2 linked regions of the Caenorhabditis elegans genome follow. The protein of the gene in region 2 interacts with the protein of the main gene of each other region in a pairwise test. Each region holds a gene or a part of one and is shown on either strand. Other genes may lie near its edges.

The links.
Region 1: the proteins of zif-1 (region 2) and pos-1 interact in a two-hybrid assay, tested with the Caenorhabditis elegans proteins (one study listed by BioGRID).

What each region holds. Positions count from the first base shown.
Region 1 is NC_003283.11:8,412,277-8,416,702, reverse strand, and holds pos-1 (RNA-binding protein pos-1), read right to left. Parts: upstream 2,619-4,426; 5' UTR 2,610-2,618; coding exon 2,211-2,609; intron 2,159-2,210; coding exon 1,763-2,158; 3' UTR 1,449-1,762; downstream 1-1,448. Other genes in the region: lmd-3 (Oxidation resistance protein 1), read left to right, coding at 1-191, 246-355, 410-525; vha-18 (putative V-type proton ATPase subunit H 1), read left to right, coding at 3,228-3,325, 3,370-3,505, 3,559-3,773, 3,818-4,304, 4,348-4,426. UniProt on the Caenorhabditis elegans protein: RNA-binding protein that coordinates cell fate specification and differentiation during early embryogenesis.
Region 2 is NC_003281.10:9,001,130-9,007,236, reverse strand, and holds zif-1 (Zinc finger-interacting factor 1), read right to left. Parts: upstream 4,459-6,107; 5' UTR 4,449-4,458; coding exon 4,371-4,448; intron 4,324-4,370; coding exon 4,277-4,323; intron 4,230-4,276; coding exon 3,992-4,229; intron 3,946-3,991; coding exon 3,208-3,945; intron 3,159-3,207; coding exon 3,040-3,158; intron 2,998-3,039; coding exon 2,933-2,997; intron 2,887-2,932; coding exon 2,702-2,886; 3' UTR 2,398-2,701; downstream 1-2,397. Other genes in the region: Ras-related protein rab-6.1, read left to right, coding at 1,288-1,351, 1,400-1,512, 1,560-1,665, 1,716-1,827, 1,875-1,968, 2,033-2,093, 2,141-2,208; F59B2.15 (uncharacterized protein), read left to right, coding at 4,615-4,628, 4,672-4,912, 4,962-5,009, 5,062-5,118; putative 26S proteasome regulatory subunit rpn-6.2, read left to right, coding at 5,264-5,306, 5,739-6,107.

The DNA.
Region 1 (4,426 bases), on a different chromosome or scaffold from region 2:
CTTGCCACAATGTACAGAAAGATGGCAGAATTCGATGAGGACCTATCACCAGTTTTGCTCATCATCAGAGACACCAAGGAACACGTCTTCGGAGCTGTCGTCTCGTCAGCCATCAGACCAAATGATCATTTCTTTGGAACTGGTGACAGTTGTTTATTGTGGAGATTCACAGGAGAAGTGCCTCACACTCGGTAATTTAATTTCTCATAGAACTTTATATACTAATTTTTTAAAAATGTTTTCAGCGAACTTCGCCAATACAACTGGACGGGTGATAATCAGTACTTTGTAAACGCCGCCAAGGATTCCTTATCCATTGGAGCTGGTTCTGGAAGAAATGGATTATGGCTTGATGGTAAGTTTATTTTTACGAAAATTGTCGGCATGATCTTTATCATTATTTTTTCAGCTGACCTCAATCATGGAAGCTCGCAAAAATGTGAAACGTTTGACAATGAACCATTATGTGGAGATGATCAGGATTTCATTATTCAATTCATTGAGGCTTATGGATTCAGAATGTAATGTGTGTATATTGTTGAATAGATTCAATACAAAAAGGCCCCAAAAGTCAATATATTCCCTTTAAGTTGTTTTTTATCATGACACAAACATACCACCATTTTCTTGGTGCCCATCTTTCCCATCCATGCTCCATCAAATTGTAAAACGCATTTGTTTCCTTCCCCCGACACAAAGAACTAATTCTTGTTGCCCCTCCACACCGATTTTATGTGTATATTCATTCCCCGTATATTTATTCCTTTAAACACACACACACCCTCATGATAATTTGTGTTAGGCATAGTCTTCTCATATTTCCCCCACCCCGATTTGACACATGCTCCCGCAGTGATATTTTTGTCCCCCAATTTTCAATTGTTTCATTTGAGTCTACTGGTATTGTGAAACTAGTTGATTTTCCTCACACACAACACAAACACGTCAGTCAGTTACAGTACTCATCTCAATTTTTGTGAGATGGAAAGTATAAAGTAATAAACCTTAAACGAAATATTCAGTTGTTTTCAAATATAAAAATGAGCGCTTTAAATATTGGAAACATTAATTTTTATTGTTTTTTCACAAGATTTTTGCACGCCTTCTTAAAGGCACACGAATTTATTCAAATGGGTCTCGGTGCGCAAAAGTTTATGGAAGTCTTTTTTGAATACTTGAGGCTGCCTCTTCGTTTTTTTTCTTGCATTTCTCAATTAGTTTATTTCATTTTAAGAAAATTTTCACAGAAAAATGAAGGGTATATTCATTGAGAAATGAGAGCCTCAAAAATAAAAACTACCATAAACTTTTCTTGCGCCGAGACCCATCTGAATAAATCCGTGCGTCTTTAAAAAAGCTCGAGAATCTTGAGAAATGATGGTACCGTAAGCTGGTTCTATGAACTTTTTAATACCGCAGAGGCACCGTAAAACTTGAAACAATTGTATGCTGATTACGAGAAATTTCATTTTATGAGTCCACATAACGAGGGCTATGCAATTGAGAACGAAACATTGGTAAAATTCAAGATAACAATAATATACAGACTAGATACAAATGTGGGAATGTGGGGGTGAGTTTTGAAAGCCTGTGAATACAACATTTTGGGGTCGGACTCGAGAAGAAAAAGAACGACAAAAATGGGGAAAATTATTGATGATGTCCTTGGGACTGCACCAGGTTATTGGACTTGATTATATAATCCATAAGTAAAAAATAGAAAGTACATGTTAGTCAAGATCAGAAATTTCGACGAGAGAAACTAGTGATGATGGGAGGAGAGCTGCTGAATCCGCTGGAATTGGCTTTCGAAATATTGTGCCAATTGAGCCGTAGAATTGTATCCAGATACGTCCAAACGGGTGGCACGAGCAAACGCACGAACGAGATCTGATTGACGGATTGGTAGACTCTGATTGAGATCCATGCTTCGATCTGTCGACCCCTGAGGCACGAAGAGTGAATGATTGTGTGCGGCAGCATTCCTTGCTGGTGATTTGGATGAAGTATTAGCGTGAGCTCCACTTGCTAGCTTCGCGGCATTCCCATCGACAATTTTGTGGATGAACTGGCATCTGGTTCCGTATTTGCAGTTTCCAGTCATCGAGAACTTGTCGCAAAGAACCGTCTTGTACTTGGGATGATTTCTCCCACGAGGCTGAAAATTCCAGTCATAAAATAAGAAATTTGTAGGATCAACGATTACTTACGTTCATTGGAAGCCGAAGCTCATGGACGCCGTGAGCAAATCTGCACTGATCACCGTATGAGCATGCCTGACTGCGTTTGTAAGCATCACACAGAGCCGTCTTGAATGCATCTTCCTTTCTCCTTTGACGCATCATTTCTTCACGAAGGTCATCGGGAACTGTGCAAGGATCACGATTGGCCAACGATTGTTCAGAAGTTGGCTGTGAAGCCGAATTCTGCGTCTCCTTATCTTGTTTCATGAACGGTTGGAAGTCTTGAGAAAATACATTCTCTTGATCATATGCTTCGGGGGATGCTGACTGATGTGAAAGCGATCGAGTAAAATCGCTGTGGGAGTCAAGGATTTCCTTTTTGAACACCATGATTGCTTCACCGCTCAGGAAATCGTTGTCAGCCATTTTGAATCTAGAAAAATAAATTTACAAACTGTGATGATGATGGAAAAAGAAGAGAATATAAATCAAGAAAACTTGGGAGCACCGGCAGAAAAGAAAATAAAAAGGAAAAAAATCCTTGAAATGGAACATCTGAATGAAATGAACAAAGAGTGAGCGAAAAAATTTACTTATCAAAAATTCGCGGAAACTAAAAAGTAAAAATTAAAAAATACCGCTCGAAATCATGATCAAATTTTGAGAAATTTTGAAAAAAAAAACTTGAATTTTCGCAATAGAGCGTGTTCGCATCGCCGTGTTGGATTTCATGGTAGCACAGAAACTAGATGGCTTGGTTTATGATACTCAGTCTGAAAACCTATATTGGCTGCTATCTCGAAAACTAACCCCAAATTTGAATTTGCGATGCATATGAAAAATGGCCGCAAGAAAATTCTCTATCTTTTCTATTGAAAATTTTTTTGATTGAAAATTTCCTAACCGGTCAAATTTGGGTTTGTTCGGTAGAGCGCATTTGCACTCATCTAGCTGCTGTACCACCGTGATTTTCCATTTCTACATTTTCCACGTTCTGTGTTTGTCCTCATTTTAAAAGTTAATTTTCTTTGATTCAGTTTCAAAATGGTATTTGGGGAGAATCAGGATCTCATTCGCACTCATTTTCAAAAAGAAGCCGACAAAGTTCGAGCAATGAAAACCAATTGGGGACTTTTCACGAGGTATATTTACTATCTATCTTCCATATTACGTAGTAATTTTTCAGAACAAGAATGATTGCTCAAAGTGATTACGACTTTATCGTGACTTATCAACAAGCAGAAAACGAGGCAGAACGGAGCACAGTACTCTCGGTTTTCAAGGAAAAGGCTGTGTACGCTTTTGTTCATCTGATGTCTCAGGTGAAATCATATTTCATAAGCCTATTTCGAAATTATTAGTTTCTTTTTTTCAGATTTCGAAAGATGATTACGTCAGGTACACTCTAACGCTGATCGATGATATGCTCCGCGAAGACGTCACAAGAACAATTATTTTTGAAGACGTTGCAGTTCTTCTGAAAAGATCTCCCTTTTCTTTTTTCATGGGTCTTCTCCATCGTCAAGATCAATACATTGTACATATTACATTCTCGATTCTCACAAAAATGGCTGTTTTTGGAAATATAAAGTTGGATACGCTTGAGATACATTAATTAATTCTAACTATTTCAGATTATCTGGAGACGAACTTGACTATTGCATGGGATCTTTGAAAGAGGCGATGAATAGAGGAACAAACAACGACTACATTGTTACAGCAGTTAGATGCATGCAAACTTTATTCAGATTCGATCCATATCGAGTTTCATTTGTCAACATCAATGGCTACGACTCACTGACTCATGCTCTATATTCGACTCGAAAATGCGGGTTTCAAATTCAGTACCAAATAATTTTCTGCATGTGGCTTCTCACTTTCAACGGACATGCTGCAGAAGTGGCTTTGTCTGGGAATCTTATTCAAACGATATCTGGAATTCTGGGCAATTGTCAAAAGGAAAAAGTAATCAGAATTGTAGTATCCACACTGCGGAACCTTATCACTTCAAATCAGGATGTTTACATGAAAAAGCAAGCTGCTCTTCAAATGATTCAAAATCGTATTCCGACTAAACTGGATCATCTGGAGAATCGAAAATTTACTGATGTGGACCTTGTGGTAATTTATTAGTGAAAGACTTCATCGAACTATAAGTTTGCAGGAAGATATGGTATATCTCCAGACTGAACTCAAAAAAGTTGTCCAAGTGCTGACATCTTTCGATGAATACGAAAATGAAC
Region 2 (6,107 bases):
GCCTTTTGGGGTGCCATTTCATGTGGACCACTTCGAACACTTAGGTTCTCGACATGTTAATTTTTCTGTAATTCATTAGTTTATTCGGAAACTTTCATGAACATGTTCAGTGCATCGATTGATATACGTGTACAATCGATGAGTAATCATCATGCATTTTTGATAAGAAACACTTTTTCTTTAGTTTCATATTCCTAACAGAAAAAAATTTGCGTTTTGAAATAAAAGTTTAATCGTGCTGCAACGCCAAATTAAAACGCTCCGCCCACATATTTTGGGTCTCGTTAGGTACTGTAGAAAACCGTAAACTAAACGTTTTCAATTTTTTTTCTTTTTCTATGTTATGCCTAACATGTTAAGAGTTTCTATTTTTATGTCGAAATTAATGAGATATGAGATAAAATTAATATCCGAATGAAAATTATTTTATTAACATTATTTTGGCATAAATATCTTTAAACATGAAAACATAACAAAAAAGACTAAAAATGATTCAAACCGAGTGAAATCTTACGGTTTTGCTACCAATACCTAACGAGACCCAACGTTTGGGGGCGGTACCTTTTAAACTCAGAAATTTAAAGGCGGGGCTTCGTTCCAAAACTGAGAAACGTGAGTAAAAAGTAGAACTTTTTAAGCAAACAAACTATTGACTGTCATGTTTATTTTTTTTTCGAGTTTCCGCTCTAAAAATTGTTAAAATCTTGATATATTTGTTCACGTTCCTGTGTCTCCGAACGAAGCTCATCCCACGAATCGCATCGACTCTAAAATACACTAAGTTTTGAGACCCGAAGAACTCGGGGGATGTCCAATTGGGGGGATTACCAACTCGGGGGATTGGCCCCGCCCACAGAACCGTGGCTTGCAATACGCCCATTTCTGCAACTGCCGCACGGTTTTAAAATCATTTTTTCTTGTTAATCCTCACTCTATTGATAAAAATACAGTTTTAAAACCGTGCGGCAGTTGCAGAAATGGGCGTATTGCAAGCCACGGTTATGTGGGCGGGGCCAATCCCCCGAGTTGGTAATCCCCCCAGTTGGACATCCTCCGAGTTCTTCGGGTCTCCTTCGGGTCTCTAAATTTTACGCAGAAATGCAGAATTCTGCAATTTGACGCCAAGTTTCGTGTTTCTCACCGATTTTTTTTTAATTTTTAATTTTCTTGCTCTTGGAATCTTTAAACAGCCAAATTTGGAAACCTTCATATTATTTTTTAAGAAACGTTTGATGTACCTTGTTCTTGTTTTGTAATTCCTCTTCAAACAAATAATTTCAGTTACAGATGGCTGATTTCACAAATAACGCTCTCAAAAAGTTTAAGCTCGTTTTTCTCGGCGAACAGAGTGGTAAGTGATTCCGAGGGCCGTTTTAGTTTCAAAAAAACTTATATTCAGTGGGAAAAACTTCTATCATCACCAGATTCATGTATGATTCGTTTGACAACACCTATCAAGCCACCATTGGAATTGACTTTCTCAGCAAGACTATGTATCTTGAAGACAGAACCGTAAGATACCATGTAGAAAATTGAAACTAAATTAATTACCTTGTCAGATTCGCCTTCAATTGTGGGATACCGCTGGCCAGGAACGTTTCCGATCTTTGATTCCATCTTACATTCGTGATTCGAGTGTTGCCGTTGTCGTGTATGATATTACTAGTGAGTTCTACTAGAATCTGAGATTTTAAATTATTTTAATAATTTTTCAGATGCCAATTCCTTCCATCAAACAACAAAGTGGGTTGATGATGTTCGCAACGAACGTGGATGTGACGTCATTATCGTGCTCGTCGGAAATAAAACCGATTTGGCTGATAAAAGGTAACGAACATGCACTCTAAAATTATTCCAAACAACAAGAAATTCAGACAAGTTTCGACGGAGGATGGAGAAAAGAAGGCTCGCGATTTGAATGTGATGTTCATTGAAACTTCTGCAAAAGCTGGCTACAACGTCAAACAGGTACTTATTTTTGAAATTCGTCTGAAAATTTTCAGACAATTAAAGTAAAAATAAGCCTTTTCAGCTCTTCCGCAAAATCGCTACGGCACTTCCAGGAATTGTCCAAGAGGAGACGCCTGAGCAGCGTAAGATTCTTATCAAACATTTTAGTGATTTATTTTAATTTTTTCAGCCAACATCGTTATCATGAATCCTCCTAAAGACGCGGAAGAGAGCCAAGGCCGTCAATGTCCGTGTTAAATCCAATCCGCAGCTTTTCATCAACCAAATTTATTATTTATTTTCCAAATATGGGTTTTCAAAAATTAGCAACTGTTTCTCTCAACTCCACGCTTATGTTCCCGTTGTTGCCTTCCTCTTCATCGCTCATCAAAATTTAAATCGAATCTATTGCCTGTTTCAAATGTATCGTGCTCAAGTGTACCGTAAATGAATCGAATAAGTCTGTATTGACAAAATTGAACAGGTGGAAAAATGAAAAGTAATATCATTACAAATAGCAGGAAGCGTCAGAAAATTGCAGGCGGTATTAAATTAGGGGTGAGGGTTTAATAAATCATTAAAATTCTAAATTTGGTGATCAGATCACTCGGGGGAATGTGTTTAAAAAATAAAGGAATTATTAGTTAAAAATAATAATTACGAATTATAGAATATAAATACAAAATAATTATCAGAGGGGGTGGGGGGAGTGTCATGCTAATAAGGGGGTTTACTTAGTTTTTTGAAATTATTATTGTTGAATATTTATCGTGCACAAATTTTCGGCAGTTTCTTTTTCAAGTTCTTCTTGCATTTTAAGGCAGCATTTGATTCTATAGTAACTTGGGTCGATTTCGACAGATTCCTTGAGAACTTGAATACATTTTAGCTTCAATGAAAGTGGCTGGAAGAATGGAAGCTCGCAATAACTCATCCCTGAAAAATTACGATGAAGAAAACGTCTATTTGGTGGAGGGATTACCATAATTTTCCTTGTATCGAAATAGGAATACAGAGCCACTAGGATGGGGAAGAACCACGTCAGTTCTGAAAAAAAAATACTTAGGAAAAAAATAGATTAATTTGTACCCAAGAATGAGAGCATCCACAGCCTTGATTCGCTCGCTGTCCAAGTCAATACAGCAGAATGACGAATTACGTGGCTTATGGCTGCAACAGTAATCACGGGCGTCCAAATCGGCAACACGCTGAAATTAAATTAATAAACTATCAACAAATAATATTTTCATATCCTACGGTTCTCATTTTCTTGCTGAGCCCCATATCAACAGTAAAGTGTGACCATCGTTGTACTACAACCATTTTGCCATGCTGTGCTATGCTCTGATGTTCTTGACGGAGCTCATCGCTGATTTTTCGCCATAGTTCAATGTCACCTCGATTGAATCTTGTCTCTATTGTTTCAGGATTAACTGCATGAATCGCATCTTTTTCGCCCTTTTCGATGACATCTTTCAAATTCACACGAAGTTGAAATACTCCTCTGTGCGGTTTCGTCTCCGGGTTATCAATTTGCGGATCTAGACCATAGTCCCGGTTTTGCTCCTCGATAAATGAATGCGAATCAATCCTAATGAAAAAATTAACGTCATTTCTGTAGACCCATGGCACGTAGTGAGATGATACAAATGGATCGAGAAATACGCGAATACCAGTGAATTGACTGACGATATCGTTCATATCAAATGATACACATTTCGCTTTGAAACACGTTGAAGTTGGAATAAATGGAAGAAGAATCAGAGAATCCACTCCGTTTGAGAATACCAACCACAGGTAGTTATTGTGATCAATGAACGGTTCGCCACGTCGATTTTCGAAAATATGGTACCAATAAGATGCTACGATTGTTTTATTCGTACGGTACTTGCATGAACCAGAGTACACTAATGTCTGTGTTTCGTGAGATACGTAGAAGAATGATTGCTTGAATTTCAATGGAATTTCATCATCCGGTCCTGCTTCATAGTCTTTCTGAAATTTTATTTTTTGGATTAGGTATGGTAGATCGGACACTTACTACAAGGGTTATTGTGCCGATTATATCGTTTCGTGCCCAGTAGAGAAAGCAAACTCGTGGAATTTCGAAAGCACCACGGTCCATGGTGTATAGGGTCCATTTGTTCGTATGTAGATCGAATACAGCCATACGGTCACGTAGTTGTTGGTTAATGACGTCACGACCGCCCGGAAGATCAATTCCATATCTTCCACACGGCGACCACTTCCAGACAAACGATTCTACGTCAGAAAGGCGCCTGAAAAGGTTATAAAATTTAATAGATATATATCTAGAGATCCTCACCTATATTTTTCATCTATGAACTCGTATTCGCTGAATTCGTCGCAAGTCTGAAATTTTTGTTTTGTCGAAACTGAGTGGTTTTCAAGATTTTTACCTGTGGAACCAACTTCCATGGTATCTCATTTACACAGAAAGTAGATAACTGACTGGTACTCGCGGAACACTCACTCATTGTGTCCACTCTGTAATTAGATACATATTTTTGAACAGAAGAGAGTAGAATTAAGATTAAAATAGAAACGTGAAACGTTTTTAAAAATATAAACGATTAAAAAAAGTATAGTTCAGTTTTTAAAAAAATGTATTGCTATCATTTTTGCTGAATTTGAATCATTCAAATGAATATTCTAAGGTGAGAGGAGATTGAAAATAAGCGATAACTAATCGGATTGCAGAATGGAAATCCGTAGTTCCGAAAAAGTGGTTCTTTCCTTGTCAGTCGTTGCGAGCTTGGTTTATTGGGGATGGACATGGTGGAGAAATCAAAATGGAACGGATGTGAAGCAGGTGTCTAACAGACGAAACCCGAACATTTTCCACATGGTTCGTTCGCCAGGCTCGCCGAGAACACGAGACGCCCATAAGAATCGCGGGTGTACTTGTAAAATGATTAGCACTAAAGACGATTGTCAGGAGGTTGGAAACATAAAAACATGAAAAGTGTAAATATTTTCCTATGTTGCAGAGAAAGCAAAAATCCAAGGACAGTGGAGAGAAGGAAGTTGACACAAATGTAAGAAGCAGCCAAAAGCCAAACAATTTTCATTATTTTTTTTTATTTTCAGCAAAATTTGATTCCGTCTTCAATGAGAAACTCTCGTCGAATTATGCTCAATAGATAATTTTCGTGTAAAAATAAACGTTTTATTTATATTGTTTTTTCACGTGACCTCTGAGGTCACGTGCCACGTCATCGAAACGAATCTCGATGAAGAATCAAAATTAATTTATTTTCATTTATTTTTGCGAGCATTAGAAAAAATTGAGATGTCTGCTACTCCAGTCACTCTGAAAGCTGTACAAAGTGAAGGTTTGTTTGTTTCTTATTAACTAGTAAAACGGAGAAGCAAGTGAGCGCGAGAGAATAGGATGAACAATGTCGCTGGCTAGAGATGAACGGGAAAATAGCTGAACGCGGACCGCGGGCGGATTGATTGGCTTTGATAGAGATGAATGTTTTTATGCGGAACAAAACAAGAAAGCTTGCGGCGACGTAGGAATGTGAGATTTAGAGATTTCTCGCGAGGAACATGGAAAATTGGGCAGATTGTCTTTGAATTCCCGCTTGAAAAACATTGCCGCGTCGAGACCCATCCATTAAACGTCCTGCGCCTTTAAGATTACGGTATCACATGTATTTTTATTCTTTGAATCGTTTCTTGATTTTCAATCAAATAAACGCGAATTTTAGCATGTTTTATGTTTTCAGTATTTAAAAAACGGTTGAATTAAATATTTTCAGTATCTGCCCAAACTGCGAAGTCATCGGAGGCAGAAGTAAAGCGATGCGAGGATCTTATCCTGTCTTACTCGAGGCAACTTGCTAAGGAAAAGGATATTACTGGAATCCGAACACTCGTCGAATCCATTCGTAGCTTCTACGATCTTGTTGGAAAAGCTCGAGCAAGTAAATTGATAAGAGATATCGTGGAACATGCGCTTACGATTGATCAAGGAGTCGGGCCTGCGCTTGATCATGGAAAGAAAGAGAAGATCGATCTCTTGACGAACTGCATCGGCTGGGCGACGTCCAACAAGAGGGAATTTCTCCGTCGGAGTCTTCAAGCCCGTCTCATTCGTCTCTACAACGATATCCGTGACTTTACGAACG